Linked DNA regions of Oreochromis niloticus. The protein of the gene in region 1 interacts with the protein of each later gene in a pairwise test. Links are inferred from orthologs where the notes say so. Each region holds a gene or a part of one and is shown on either strand. Other genes may lie near its edges.

What was found. The genes of interacting proteins can lie anywhere in the genome.
Region 2: the proteins of sncaip (region 1) and nub1 interact in a two-hybrid assay, tested with the Homo sapiens proteins (2 studies listed by BioGRID). The link is inferred for Oreochromis niloticus from reciprocal best matches to the Homo sapiens genes SNCAIP and NUB1.

Annotation. Positions count from the first base shown.
Region 1 is NC_031977.2:31,800,362-31,807,936, forward strand, and holds the start of sncaip (synphilin-1), read left to right. Parts: upstream 1-4,199; 5' UTR 4,200-4,390; intron 4,391-7,575. UniProt on the Homo sapiens protein: Isoform 2 inhibits the ubiquitin ligase activity of SIAH1 and inhibits proteasomal degradation of target proteins. Isoform 2 inhibits autoubiquitination and proteasomal degradation of SIAH1, and thereby increases cellular levels of SIAH.
Region 2 is NC_031974.2:3,696,596-3,704,432, reverse strand, and holds the start of nub1 (NEDD8 ultimate buster 1), read left to right. Parts: upstream 1-4,336; 5' UTR 4,337-4,631; intron 4,632-4,988; 5' UTR 4,989-4,993; coding exon 4,994-5,110; intron 5,111-5,526; coding exon 5,527-5,694; intron 5,695-5,830; coding exon 5,831-5,895; intron 5,896-7,530; coding exon 7,531-7,595; intron 7,596-7,674; coding exon 7,675-7,837. UniProt on the Homo sapiens protein: Specific down-regulator of the NEDD8 conjugation system. Recruits NEDD8, UBD, and their conjugates to the proteasome for degradation. Isoform 1 promotes the degradation of NEDD8 more efficiently than isoform 2.

The DNA.
Region 1 (7,575 bases):
TGTCTCCTGTTCCGCCTGAGCACCTCACCCTCTGGTGTTTGCACAGCGTAGGAGCGTGGTTCCTCTCGCCGATGTGCTACAACAGCTGGCTCCCAACCGCGCCGTGTTTGCATGTGCACAGTATCGCCTGAGGTCAAAACAGGCAATGGTCTTGCATGCTGATCAAAGTGGTATTTCCGCTTTGACTGCAGTCCACGCACCTTATCTGGAATGTTCTGTGGGGTTGACTGTCTCAACACAGCACTGGCGCATGGCAGTGTGCTGCGGAGAACCCGTCCCATCAACATTTGTGCAGGTGACACACTCAGTCCTGTGACTGGAGTGTTCCTCAGAGATAACAGCACTAGATGTGGATCTGTTCCAGTTCGCGCCGCTTTTTTAAGTGCATGTTTAACAGTCTTTATGGCTCGCTCCGCCATTCCATTTGAAGAAGGAAAGCCGGGACTGGAGAAAGTTAGCTTTATCTCCCAGGATGCTGCAAACGATCTCATCTCGTAGCTGGCAAATGGAACATGATCGCTCACTATCTCTTTGGGAATTCCGTGTCTTGCGAAGACTGATTTCATCTTCTGAATCACAGAGTGTGCCGTTTTGTCAGGTAAGTTAAGAACTTCTGGGTATTTGGATAAATAATCAACTAACAAAAGATATGGCTGACCGTTCAGTTCGAAGATGTCCGCTCCGATTTTCATCCATGGCAGCTCTGGAATCTGATGTGGAATAAGCGGCTCAGCCTGGTTCTGTGGCTGCATTTGCTGGCATTGTTCACACTTCTCAAGCATAGTCTCTATGTCGTGCGACATGCCCGGCCAGTACAGTACTCTTCTTGCTCTGGCTTTTGTGCGCTGTACACCTTGGTGAGCGAAATGCAACTTCTCCAGGATCACTTGTCTGAAGCTTTGGGGTATTACAATCTTGTCCCCTATCATAATAATGTCATCGTGGATACTGATGTTGTTTCTCATAGGCCAGTAGCTGTGGAGTGTTCTGTCTAAACTCTTCCTTCTGGCTGGCCATCCGTTGAGGTGCCTTTCACGCACAGCTTGTAGCACGCTATCTGCTGCAACTGCCGTTCTCAGGCTGCTCAGTGTTTTTTCACTCAACGCTGCTGTGGCCTCCAGAGCATACACAACTCTTTCTTCATTTGTGTCTTCACTCACATTCTCGTTGTCACTAGTGGTTGTGGCTCGTGAAAGTGCATCGGCTATGAACATGTCTTTGCCGGGGGTGTATGTGACGGTGAGATCATATCTCTGCAATTGCAGCAGCATTCCTTGTAACCTTGCTGGTGCCTTGCATAGCGGCTTACGCATTATCGCCTCCAGGGGTTTATGATCAGACTGCACGGTTACTGGTCTTCCATAGACATACTGGTGGAATCGTTTAGCGGCAAACACAATGGCTAGCAGCTCCTTTTCTATTTGTGCATACCTTTTTTCTGTGTCTGTGAGTGCTCGTGACGCATAGCACACAGGTTGCCCTTCTTGTAATAGGCATGCGCCCAGCCCATCTTTTGAAGAATCGGCCTGCAATGTTAAGGGTTTCTTGTGGTCATAAAATCTCAACACTGGTGCTTGTGTGAGCGTCGCCTTGAGCATCTGTAGCGCTGCTGTGTGGTGCGGCTGCCAGTGCCACGCTGTGTCCTTTTTGAGTAGCTGTCTTAAAGGTGCTGTGAGTGATGCTTCATTTTGAATGTACTGTGCCAAAAACTTCGTCATTCCCAGCAGACGCTGAAGACTTTGTTTGTCTTCCGGAGTCGGCATGTCAACAATAGCTTTGATCTTTGAAGCATCTGCTTTCTGCCCAGCTGCTGTGATGATATGGCCCATGTATTTCACCGTGTCGACTTTGAACTGAATTTTGTCCTTGTTAAACTTCACGTTAGCTGTTCTTGCTTTCTCCATGACCTTCTGCAGGATCTCATCGTGTTCGTGCTCTGATGTAGCTGCAATGATCATATCATCTGCAATGATAAATACACCAGGAATGCTGCCGAAAGTCTCGCAATTCTTTTGTTGAAAAACCTCGCTGGCGGATTTGATCCCGAATGGGAGCCGGAGGAAGCGATACCGGCCCCAAGGTGTATTAAAGGTACACAGCTTCGATGACGGCTCGTCCAGCTTGATCTGCCAGTATCCGTCTTTTTCATCCAATATGGTGAAGATGGATTTTCCTGCTAGCTTGCTTCGAACGTCCTCGTGTGTGGGAATGGAGTAGTGCTGGCGTTTAACTGCTTGGTTCAGATCACAAGGGTCCAAACACACCCTTAGTGTTCCGTTCTTCTTCTGTGTGGCGACAAGACTGTTGACCCAATCTGTGGGCTCATTGACAGGCGTTATGACATCTCTGTTCTGTAAGTCCTGTAGCGTCTGCTTCAGCGGGTCCATTATGGAGAGGGGCACGTTCCTGCATGCATGAATCACAGGTGTTGCGTTTGCGTCAGTGTGTATGTGATGGACTCCAGGGAACTCACCCAAGCCTGTGAACACATCAGCATACATCTCCACAAGCTCTTCCTTGGTAGAAGGTGGTTTGGCTGGTTTCGGTACAGCGGATGGTAAGGCAAGGGCTTCAACTCGCTTCACCAGATGCAGCTCCTCACAAGCTCGCCCACCTAGGATCGGTTTATCTGCATGGTCCGACACAAGAAAATCAAACACAGCCCTGTGCTTCCTTGCTTCACACTCAAGAGACACCACACCATCTACATGTATGCGGGCCCCACCAAAAGCTATGAGTGCCGTCTTCGTGGGCTGTAACCGAGGCATCCCTGGTAACTTGTTGTAAACTGATCTGGGGAGCACATTTGCGTCCGCGCCTGTGTCTAGCTTGAAGGTGACTGATGCGTCCCCGATTGTTACACTTTCGTGCCACCTTCCAGTTTGGTGCTTGTCACTGCACACCATACCTATGTACAGTGAGTCCCCATCAGTCTCAATGTTATTAATAGTCTTTGTTTTCTTGTAATTTCTACTTTTCTCTGCGCCCACTCTGCATACTTTTGAAAAATGGTTATTTTTCCCACACCTGTGGCATGTTGCCCCATAAGCTGGACACTGTCGGGGCGCGTGTTTGTTGCCGCATTTGTAACAAGCCGTTTGCTTGTCGTTGCTCGGTTTGTTTTTACTGTGTCCTGATTTAATGTATCCTGGCGTTTTCCTTAATGCATGTACTGACGTGTCTTGGGGTGCAGTTGTTGACTGCATAGCCTGAATCTGTGACTTGGCCACCTCTGCTGATCTGCATATTTCTATCGTCTTGCGCAGTGTGAGGTCGTTGTCACGAAGTAGTCTCTCTTTTAGTCTGGTATCATTTATGCTGAACACCAACTTGTCCCTGATCATGTCATCTTCATTGACCCCAAACTCGCAACTTTTACTTTTCTGACGGAGTTCTGTGACATATCTGTCCACTGTTACACCTGCTGACATTGGGTATGACCAGAATGTATGGCGCTCAAAAACAACGTTCTTTTGTGGACTACAGTATTCCTTAAACGCTTTCAGAATGTCCTCCATAGCTAGCGCGTCTCCGGCCGGGGTTACAGTGAGTGTGTTATACACTTCAAGTGCCTCCTCGCCGATAGTGTGGAGAAGAATGGCTGTTTTAACCTTTTCATCTTTCTCCAGCGCACCCGTAGCAGTCATATACAGTCTGAATCTTTGTTCCCACCTGCGCCAGGTCTCAGATAAATTGCCGGTGAGCAGTAGCGGCGATGGTGGCTTGAATTGCTCCATGCCGTTAGCACCGTCCACCGTTAGCTAATCCACAGCTAGCTTACTCACGTCGCGGTCGGTCCCTGCTCACACGGTCCTGCCAACTTCTGACACCATGTTATGACTTTAAGCAGCGTTGCTCCAACTGCCAGTTTAACATGAGTTGCGACCAAGGCCAACTTTGATAAAGCACAGAGGACTGAGACGAGGCAATGGTGGAGGTCTGGTCTTTTTTACTACGAACACTCTTCAATCACATACAATACCACAGTGCCACCTGCGGGTGGGAGGTAGTAATAACTGCTGCTTATTACAATATACCACAGTGAATAAGCTACCCCGCTGCACAACAGTACGAGTAAAAGAAAACACAAACACGATTTATTTATTTATTTATTTATTTTTGCTTTATTTAGCCTGAAAATCCAAAAGAAAGTGAAGTTTTTCTTTTCTCCACACTACGTGGTCCTGGGAAATTTCCTCAGAGTGAGCGCTCATCCTGTTTCCGGCGCTTTGTGCTGCCCATATGTCAAAGTCTTTGTGCTTTTCAAGACAGAGAGGCGACAGAAGGGAAAAAAACAGCTGGATCCAACGACCATCCAGCTAGCGTTACCACTAGCAGCAACCAGCTCCTCAAGCCTGCTAACCCCCCTCGGCTGCCTGACTTCCAAAAGGTACCGTGTCTGAAAACTGTCCGTTAACCGAGAGCTAACGGCTCCTTATTCCGACCGCCTTATCTTTTACCTGAGCTTTCTCTTTGACCCAATTTTCCAACTGCCAGCCTGGCTAGCCTGTTAGCTTCCACATTAGCTTCTTTAGATGCTGATTAGCTAGCTAGCTTAGCTGATTAGCCTCCTGCTGCTTGAGCAGGTATCAGAGGATTAAACAAGCTGTCAGCAAGAATCATAGGAGCACACTCGCCTCCCATCCTTTGTTGTCATCTATAAAGCAGAAAGCATAGGGCTCTGTTGGCGTCTTTAAGTCTGCTTCATACTAACTGTCCTTTTAAATACATTTTACTTTTATCTGCTTTTAAAGTGTTACCATACTACATGTACTTTTTTCATTTAAAGTATGCAAGTAGTGCTTTCTGATTGGATTAATTGTTGTCTAGTGCGAAGTATTCCTTTTGGGTATAGAAGAAAATGAAGCAGGAATCACATAAACACTGATCTCAGATGTTAATTTGACTTTTGTCTCATTTTTGTCTTTGCAACATAAATTCTATAATGATACTCAACAAAACAAAAACCTCACGGTAGTGATGTTTCGCTAATTACATGCACATCTTGAGTTAATCTGTATTTCAAATGAATCTTTCTCGATATTTGCATATTTTAAAGCTTTTGTGTTTAATTGCAACCAGCTGATTTCATTGATCTGATTACGTATTTAATGCTGTTTCTGTACAACGTGAAATACAGCTGCTGAGCAGAAGTCTTGGTTTGTTACACTTAAAGTGTGAAGACAATCTTCTTTTCTGAGGTGTTGAAATCTGCAGATTTTTGATAGATTTACTCAGTTTTTACTGGAAAAAATAGCTGTTATCTATCAGACTGCTTCCAGCTAATATTAAGGCCAGAATAGGTAAAGTAACCACCTGTCAAATCAAACATACGAGGCTACTTGTCGTGGAAACCTCTTGTGAATAAGTGAGCACTTGAAAGTAGCATTTATTTCTCTGGTGCAAACACTGGTTGAGGAGCTGAATGGCTCCTGTAACCAGAAAGTCCCACAGCAGTCCCAGCGGAGCACTGGTTAAACACCAAAGTGTTCCTAGCTTGACGAAATGTGCGTTTTGAGGGTGAGCTGGTACGGAGAGATAACTCCCTTTACTGTAGGAGGTTTTCTGAGAGGCATCCTGGTCACATGTCCAAACCATTTCAACTGGCTCCTTCCACAGACTCTAGGTCAGACTCTAAATGGCTTGTTTAAGCAGCTTGTTTGAGTGAGAGAAGATGAACTGGATGCCCTGATAAAGATAAATAATGAACCATGAATGATGCCCAGTCCAAGAATAAAAATAGGGTGCTGATATTAGCTGTTCCTCCTTAATTGGGTAATCTATCATCTATTTTTTATTTTCTACTGCTCATCGTCTCCCCAGGTAGCATCCATTTAGTCAGCTGTGTCATGGGACTTATTGTTATATGCTGTGGCTATCATTGCACTTTCTTTTGTCAGTGTGGGTTTTCGACTGCATGGACTTACTTTGGATATTATGATTGTAATCCAGGTTTTGAATGTCGTTCTGTATGCTGTCATTTAAATTTAACTTGGTGAGCTCTGAAGAAACTCCGTGTCTCGATTCTGTCTGATTTACAGCTTTATCTTGCAACCTGTGTTTGGCAGGGCTCAGCTGACAGCGGCGCTTGAACCCAACAACCTCACGATGAGTTCAGGGTTTTAGAGGTGCTGTGTGCATTCCCCGCTCCCAGTGGTCGTTAGATCACTGCTTCCATTTCTATTTTTACACTAGTTCAACAAACAAGTCAGAACATGTAAATAAGGGAGACTTTGAGATGATGGAAGGTGGATTTTAGTTTCACTGATTTCCATGGGAAATGCGAAGTAGCATGCAGTAAATTTCTAATTACACTTTGAGGAAAGAATAATCTCCCATCCTTGTTTCTTGTCTTTCGTCCAAAACAACGCTTCATCTCTGATTATTTTTGTGTCTTGCTGCCTGGAAGGATTTGGACTCGTCAGCTGTTCACATAAACAGAGTGAGCAGACGTTGTCCTCCTTCCTTTTCTTTTCTTTAAAAGTTCTATGTTATTTTTGATGTCGGGTTTCGAAGCCTAAACTGTTGTTATCAAGGATATGCAGGCTCGACTCTTTCTCAAAGCTGCAATCAGAGGTTTTTTTATTTTGACCCGTTGACTCCCACGCAGTCTGAAAACAGCTCCAGTCTTACACGGACGCACCACAGTGTGTTGCTTTCTGAACATCTTGGACTTCCATGACTGGACGTTTGTTCTTCTCAAAACATAAAGAAATCTCTAAGCGTAGTCTTAATGTGTGGCCAAAGAAACAGACACATTTCTATTATTGCCTTGAAAATGACCATATGAATTTTAAATTACTTCTTGCTATATTTTTCTCTGAAAGCAATGTACAAGGAAAAAAATGTTAGTAATCAAAGATGAGAAAGTTCGGTGGTAGAGTAGGGGTTAAAGCTTCTTTAAGGCGAGGCATGGCACAGCGGCACACAGTAACTTATTATATATGTGAGAAAATTGACGATTTTTCAGTTTGGTTCTAAATGTAGATAGTTGTAAATGATCTCACATCAACAGGCACCATGATCCCGAAAGAAAGAGCCAAAGAAATGAACTGTTCCCTCAGAACATCTGGATCTTATTGTAGGTACACCACCTGATGACGTGAGAGGTCTCACAGTCTGACTCCACTGTAGCCATGGTGTTATTTTAGGTTCTTGTGATCCTCTCATGACTAATTCTTCCATCACTGATTAAGCTGCAGATTTCTTGCAAATAATGGGGATAACGGGCAATCAGTTTTTTTAATTTTCATTTTTTATTTCTAATTTGTGTGTGTAGATATTTTTTAACATCAGCACAAATTTAGTCTACAAAGAAATTTTGCCGCTTTTTTTGACAGCCACCTTTGTAACAATTTGGGAGTTATTGTAGCTGTTGTTTTGAAGCCTCTTTCTAAATGTGCATACATTTCATTGGTCTTGTGTGTATAAAATTCCACCTATAGCCAAATAAGACCGTTAAATAAACAAACACAAAAAATGTTGACTTAGTTTGAGAATGAGGTAAAGAAAAATAACTACCCGTCCCAGTTGCAAGTTATAAAGCACTGATCAAATGGCACGCTGCTTCAGATG
Region 2 (7,837 bases), on another chromosome or scaffold:
CAGTGGTTAATCCTGGCTCTGATGTTCTGAGAGGCTTCCCCGACTCTCTGCAAACACTTTTTAAACCACTTTACAGAAAAAATGTGTTTTCTTACAGTTCCACTTTCTCCTGTGTTTAATCAGGTTTCTGCTTCGGGATGCACCTCATCCTTCCAGCGGTTTGAGCCGGTGTCACTCTCTGCCCTGAAGGGGATAATTGAGCATCTGAAAAATTCAAACTCTGTACATGACATCCTCCCATCTCGCATCATCAAGGAGGGTTTTAATGTAATTGGGCCTATCATCCTATCCTTATGAACTTATCATTGCTTTTGGGTGGTGTCCGACCACTTTTAAACATGCGGTAGTACAACCTGCTCTTAAAAAAAGTAGCCTTGTCCAAAATGACCCTGCAAACTATAGGCCGATTTCCAAACTCCCTTTCTTGGCTAAAATTCTAGAGAAAATAGTCCTTTTGCAACTACAGGCCCATCTAGATGCGAATATCATCACTGATAAATTCCAGTCTGGGTTCAAATCACATCATAGTACGGAAACGGCATTGTTGAGAGTTTTCAATGATCTCCTTTTAATCACTGATTCAGGGCGCTCAGCAGTTTTAGTTTTTTTGGATTTGTCCTCAGTGTTTGATTTAGTGGACCACAACATGCTTTTGATGAGGCTAGAGCACATGGTAGGCATTGAGGGTAATGCTCTTAGTTGGTTTAAATCGTACCTTTCTGAAAGGTCCTTCGCTGTTACGATGGGAAGTTACTCTTCCTCTGTTGCCCCCTTTTCCTGTGGTGTGCCCCAAGGGTCTGTGTTAGGCCCTATGTTGTCCTCTTTGTATTTGTTACCTCTAGGTCGCATCTTTGAAAAATATAAAATTTCCTGCCATTGTTACGCAGATGATATTCAAATTTACTTTCATCTGACTGAGGATCATCACTAAACTGTGTTTTTGATTGTATGAGAGAAGTTAATTGAGTTCAATTCCATTTTAGTCATACAGCACCAAATCACAACAACAGTCACCTCAAGGCGCTTTATATTGTACAGTAGATAGCACAATAATAAATACAGAGAAAAACCCAACAATCATATGACCCCCTATGAGCAAGCACTTTGGCGACAGTGGGAAGGAAAAACTCCCTTTTAACAGGAAGAAACCTCCGACAGAACCAGGCTCAGGGAGGGGCGGGGCCATCTGCTGTGATTGGTTGGGGTGAGAGAAGGAAGACAGGATAAAGACATGCTGTGGAAGAGAGACAGAGATTAATAACAGATATGATTCAGTGCAGAGAGGTCTATTAACACATAGTGAGTGAGAAAGGTGACTGAAAAGGGGTTAAGGATTGGTTATTGAGTAACTCACTCATTTTAAATGAAAAGAAAACTGAAATTGTTGTTTTCGACAGCCATATTCCTGGGGGCCAACTAACAGTTTCACTTGGGCTGTTTGCTACCTTTCTTTCTGACACTGTAAGCGACCTGGGTGTTCTCTTGGACAGTTCTTTTAAACTTGATAAACAAGTCTCCACTGTAGTTAAATCTAGGTTTTACCAATTACGCCAAATTGCCAAGGCCAAGCCTTACATGCCCTGCAAGGACCTTGAGAAACGTATCTATGCCTGTATCGCCTCGAGACTGGCCTCCAATCTACCCTTCTCCGCAGACTGCAGCTTGTTCAAAATGCAGCAGCACGCCTCTTAGCTGGAACAGGTTTTTATCACCCCTATCCTTGCTGACCTGCATTGGCTACTAGGGATGGGTATCGAACCCGGTTCTTGTTGAGAACCGGTTCCCACTGTTTCAATTCCTTGGAATTGTTTGCCATTTTTGCAAACGATTCCCTTATCGATTCCAGTCACCCCGAATGACGTCACCACGTTGCGGAGCATCATTTACCTGGCAGGGCGCCTAAGCAGCTCAAACGCTAAAAAGTTTGGTCATACTTTACAAGAACGGATGACAACAGGGCAACTTGCAATACTTGCAAAGTAGATATTTCATTTAAAGGAGGAAACACTACGAAGATGCAAAAGCATTTGCTCACAAAACACGCGATGACCTTAAATGAATGTCGTGGTTTTAATTCCGCTCCGGACTCGTGAATCTCAACCCAGCAGCAGCGGTAACGTTTGCACGTCCTCTCCCGTTAATGCGGCAGGTAAATAATCAGCTAACAGTGCATATTATGTTAGCGCGATCTGCCATATTACAAAACCTGCCATTACTGTGCATTTAGGTGACCATGATGAGAGAGACAGAGTCTGGCTGGCAGTTCTCGCTGCAGTCTACCGGTAGCGTCTCCTTTCAGGCCAGGATAGACGAATGTCACCGAGCAGTGACTAAGTTTGTGGTCAAAGGCTTGCACCCATTTGCCACAGCAGATGCCCCCGATTTCCGGTAAGTGAATGTGTTTAATTGTAGGCAGGGACATTACTGGATATTCTTGTGTAATTGCTACAGAATAATTTATGTTATACTTTGTTATTGCTACAGAAGAATATTTATTTTATTATTTTACATTTACAATTTTTTTTCCCGGGGACCCTGTGACACCCCATTGAAGAGCCGTAGGCTGTGGATCTCTTAAGATCTCACTGTTGGGTTTGTAAGGCCATGTTACTCCTAAATTTCTATCTTGTTCAAAGAGAAGATATAAAACAAAGTTCTAAGCTAATCGACCTTAGTGTTCTCCTTTTTAAAAAAGAATCGATAAAGAATCGAATCGTTAAACAGAATCGAAAATGGAATCAGAATCGTGAAAATCTTATCAATACCCATCCCTATTGGCTACCCATCAAATACCATATTGATTTTAAAATACTATTGCTTACCTATAATATTATAAATAACATTGCTCCCAGTTATCTTGTTGAACTTCTCATAGAGCACTGAGATCAACGGGCCAGCTGCTAGGGTTGAAGACCAGAGGTGAGCATACTTTTGCCATAGCTGCACCCAAACTCTGGAATAGTCCTCCTACTGCTATTCGTGCGTCTGAATCAGTTCAACCTTTTAAATCTCGGTTGAAAACCTTTTTATTCAAACTAGCCTTCCCTAGTTAGTGTTTGTATCCTTCAAATGTTCTTTTATGTATGTTTAATCATTCTATTGTATTTTATTGCTGAATAATCTCCTAGTCGAGCTGTGTTTGTATTTTCTTTTACTAATTAGTGCTCTCCCCCTGTTGGTGTATTTATTCCCTGTTAATGTTTCCTTTCTCTAAATTACGGTATTACTGTAAAGCACTTTGGTGTACCGCTGGTTTTAAATGTGCTATACAAATAAAGTTGTATTGTATTGAAGCAGTGGGCAGCCACCAACGCAGCGCCCAGGGAGCAGTGTGTATGGATGGTACCTTGCTCTGGGGTACCTCAGGGGAGCCATTTGGTGGATTTGAACCCCCGACCTTCCGATCATGGGGCGAATGCTCCACCTACTGAGCTATCCTCTCTTTGTGTTTGTGTTCAAGTTATGTCAATCATGTAAACAAAGAAAAGAAATAAGTGTTATACAAATAAAAAAATACATTTCAGTGTGGCTTCACGTGTTCTGATTCAGTTACTGTGGAAATAATAGCGTGTTTACTATGTATTAAGGTCAAAGGTGTAGGTTTGCTTATAATAACCAGTCCGCTGTAACTGTATGACAGGTGTTTATTAGCAGCCAACATAAACGTTCGTACACAGGTAACAGGAAGCACACATAGCCCAGTTAGAACCACAGCGACCTCTGCTGGAAACCTCCGTAACTGCAGCAAAGGCAGACATAACATCACTGTTGTCTACAAAAGGGAACATAGTTTATTATTGTTTGTGGTAGTATGATGTTGTTGTTGATAGGATGTAGAATACAAATTGAAAAAACAAACACAGAGATTGTGTTTGGAATAAATGTATAACCACAGATTTTGGATTTGGCTCTATTAATGTTCTTACTTATACTCTTTTAAATTGTTTTTTATTATTTATGATTGAATTTGATCCTGCTGGGTTGTCTTAACTTTAAAAATAGATCTTACCTTATTTTTAATTGTTTTTTTGCCTTTTTTTTAACATGTTGTATCACTCACTGTTATATTTTTTGGTTTTCTTTTTTATCATTTGCTTATTTATTTTATTTTCAATACATTTCAAACAATATTTTTTTTGCTGTACTTTAGTATTTACATTTTTAACACATTTCCCTTTGTGTCATTAAGGTAGCGTTTTTCGTTTTGACCCTCGTGGGCAACCGTAGGGCAGGATCGAAGATCGTCTATATTCGTGAAGACTCGTGTCTGCTGTGACGTGGCCTGGAGCGTCGGCCTGTGTTCGGCAGACGTCGTTGTTGCGATCAGCTGATCCTGGAGCATGCGCAGAGTGTCGTTTCCTTCCCAGAAAAGCCTGATTCACGTAAACAACAGCAGGCAGCTGCCGCCGCGGAGCTTTACCGGAGTTTTACCGGCTCTCAGACCGAGCAGCTGGTCGCCGTCGGGTCCTGTGACAGTGAGCTACCTGTCAGAGCAGCTGTGCTCACCTGGAGCTGTTAGCTGCTGATGTCAGCCCGGTGGCGTCATTTCTCTGATTAAGTGTCGTGTTTGAGGCTGTTGTGTCGTAAATCAGCCGGGAGCAGAGTTTGGAGCAGCTGAAGACACACCACAGGTTTGTGCTGAAGTAACCGAGACCTCTGAACTTTAGTTTGACCTCTGAACTTTAGTTTGACTTTATACAACGAGGCTGCTGTGTGGAGCCTACATTTCCCATCATGCAGCTGGAACTCTGTGTGACAGGAGTGAGTGATTTATGATGACTAACCTCAGCTTTAACTCAAAGTCAGGAAACAGATTATTACAGCTGCACTTCCTGTAGTGATCACCTGCTACCATCAGGGGGCGGAGCTTCACTGAAATGCTTCCAGATGTGAGCAGCTGCTGTCCTCTGAGCTGGTCCAGGCGTTTTAAAAAGGTCTTCGTGGACCTGAGATGCTGAAGCCACAGTTTTTATCTTGTATCCTCTCAGAGACGATGGCGGAGCAGAACTTGGAGGCCAAGCTGAAGAACCTCCTGAAGCAGGAGAAGATCCAGCTGTGGAACCCGCCGTACACCGAGCAGGACCAGCAGCCGGGGCGGCCGCACATGCAGGTGGGTGACCCGCCTGAGGAGGCGTGGCCATACACACCTTCCTACTGAGATCAAAGTATGAGGATATAAAGTTCAGTCAGGTCTATAAAGGTTACTTTGTGACGCTGTTTAAGAAATTAATCATTCACATGAATCCAATAAAATAATAAATCTGCTAAAACAAAGAAATAAAACCATCATTAAAGAGTTCAGTTTTTCCTGTCAGAGGAAACCTCAGTTAAACAACTTACTAAACCAGTGAAACTGATTATAGAGGAAACACATGAGGATACATGAGAGAACAGGACTGACTGATTCTGTTTCACTGAGATTCAAGCATCACTGAGGTTTTTGTCTCAGCATTACAAAGTTCAGCCCATGTACAGTGTCGTTGGATTCAGTTCTGAGCGCGCTCAGTGCTGTTCTTCTTCCATCAGGAGCTGGCGGGGCACTACGCCCCCCTGCTAGGCCTGCCCGTGTCGGAGGTAGGGGGCGCTCTGGAGTCGATCCGAGCTCAGGCGGTGAAGCGAGGCAAAGGAAACCAAACGTTCAGGGAGACGAGTGTGGCGACGCTGGAGCTGCTGCTGCCGCGAGACGCCAAGAAGGTAACGAAGGCGGCGAGGACAGAGGAAGCTACCCGAAGGTGTACCTCACGCCACACACTCATCACATGACACACACCGACCCACAATGCTTTGCTCTCCTGTGACGGAGGAGAATGACCTCAGTGTTTGCTTCCAGGATCCAAAGGTGAGGATGTACCTGGAGACCAGGCTGGACGTGTCGGCGCAGCAGGTGGTGGACAGGTACTCGATTACATCACAGGCCGAGTGTGTGTGTGTGTGTGTGTGTGTGTGTGTAGCTATGGGAACTGATAAGATTTTAGCCATTCAGATTCTATTATTGGTATCTCTAATTGATTCAGATGTTCATCGATTGTCATTGATGAGTCAGCTCATCGCTAAGCAACAATAAAAACGTCACTCTGATGCATATTAATTACATGCTGTGGGTCAAATGTTTGTGTGTTTGTTCTCTTCACTGTGGTCGACACATGTTACACACAACACGTGCACCATGTTACACGTTACTATGATTATGATGTTTTTCTCTGATTTTACTAAATATTCAATTCAGATGACGGTCAGCATAACGTCTGAGTCATCGACCCTCAGAGTTCAGATGTTACTGAACAAACCTCCCAATGAAAACCGTGTTTTTCTAAACTAACAAACTTAAAAAGCCAACAGAGCTTCCAAACATGTAATTGGTTGTAAAGAACTGAAAGTGATTATTTGTTGAATTTGCAGCATTAGGAGATCAAATTTACTGAAATCAAAACTATTTCAATCAAAAACATTAACAGGTCGAGTTCCATAATAACACAGGACCCCTTATTTGATTACATCCATGGACCTGGAGAGTTTTGTCAGTATGCTGTGACTCAGCCACAGGTCTGTGAGCAGTACGATGATCGCGCTTACGTTTACGTGAAAGGTTTTCATTATGTGTCCAAGGCATTCAACTGTTTCACACTTTTCAGCAGAGATCCTTTTTCTTTCCCGTGTTGCTTGATAATGGTGGTGTGCTTAATAATGTGGCGCATGCTTCTTTAGTAGTTGTAAAACTAATGATCACAGTCTGAGGCTGATGTCAGTGATCCAAACAGCTCTGAGACACATGAGTTTGATTGAAAAACAACATATTTAATCTTTGTGACACTTAAATACAATTTTCTTAATAATTTGGAACGTGGTGTAAAAGTAATGCAGTACTTAGTTACTCCTGGAAAAAGGTAACTAGTTATACTAGTCGTTACATTACTTTCATGTTACTCTGTAAAGCAGCTGCAGCTCACTGTCTCATAATCACTGTTTAAACATAAACCTGAGGCACCAACACATCCCTAATGAGGACACACACCTCTAACATCTCTCTTAACACAAAGCTGACCGCACAAATCAAAGATGAAGACACACAAAAAATGGTTGCCATGGTGATTCTACTGTAGAAACAGGAACAGGTAGAATCGTCAGTTTGTTACCTGTGGAGGTTCAGGCTCTGGCTGCTGGTCTGGAGTCTGCACACGCTCAGCTTTAACGCTTGGCTAGCTTAGCGTTAGCATGCTGTCAGTGCAGATGCTTGTAAAGAACTGAGGTTGTGTTAGCAGCACTGTGGTTGTTTCTGTCCTGTTATTTACATTTACATTCATCTTGTTCTTTTGTGCAATAAAAAATACATTTCGACACACATGGTCACTATTTCCTCCTCTGACATCCAAGCTGAAATCAGCTGATTGTAGTGCGAGGACAAGAAGTGGGATCAACAGGCGGACAAATGATTCCAAGGAGCTGGAATACTGGGAAGCAGTTATCTACAAGAACTGGTTCTACATTCAATACTCTAGTAAAGAGAGTGTGTGTGTGTGTGTGTGCGTGCAGGGTCGCTGAGGAGCACGGCCTCAGGAGCATCAAGCTGATCCTGAGTGGGAGGAGTCTGTCTGCAGGTCAGTGACCTCACAGCTACAGTAGTCATGTGATCTGTCAGAGCAGAGCGTGAGCGAGCGAGTGTGTGTGTGTGTGCAGAGCGGCGTCTGGACGAGCAGGGCGTGAAGAACCACAGCAAGGTGATGGTGCTGAGGGTGAGTGACGGCGAGCTGAAGCAGCAGCTGACGGAGGAAGAGGAGGAGAGGAGGAGCCAGGAGGAGAGCGTCCAGAGGACCCAGAAAGGCTTCCAGATCCTGTCAGA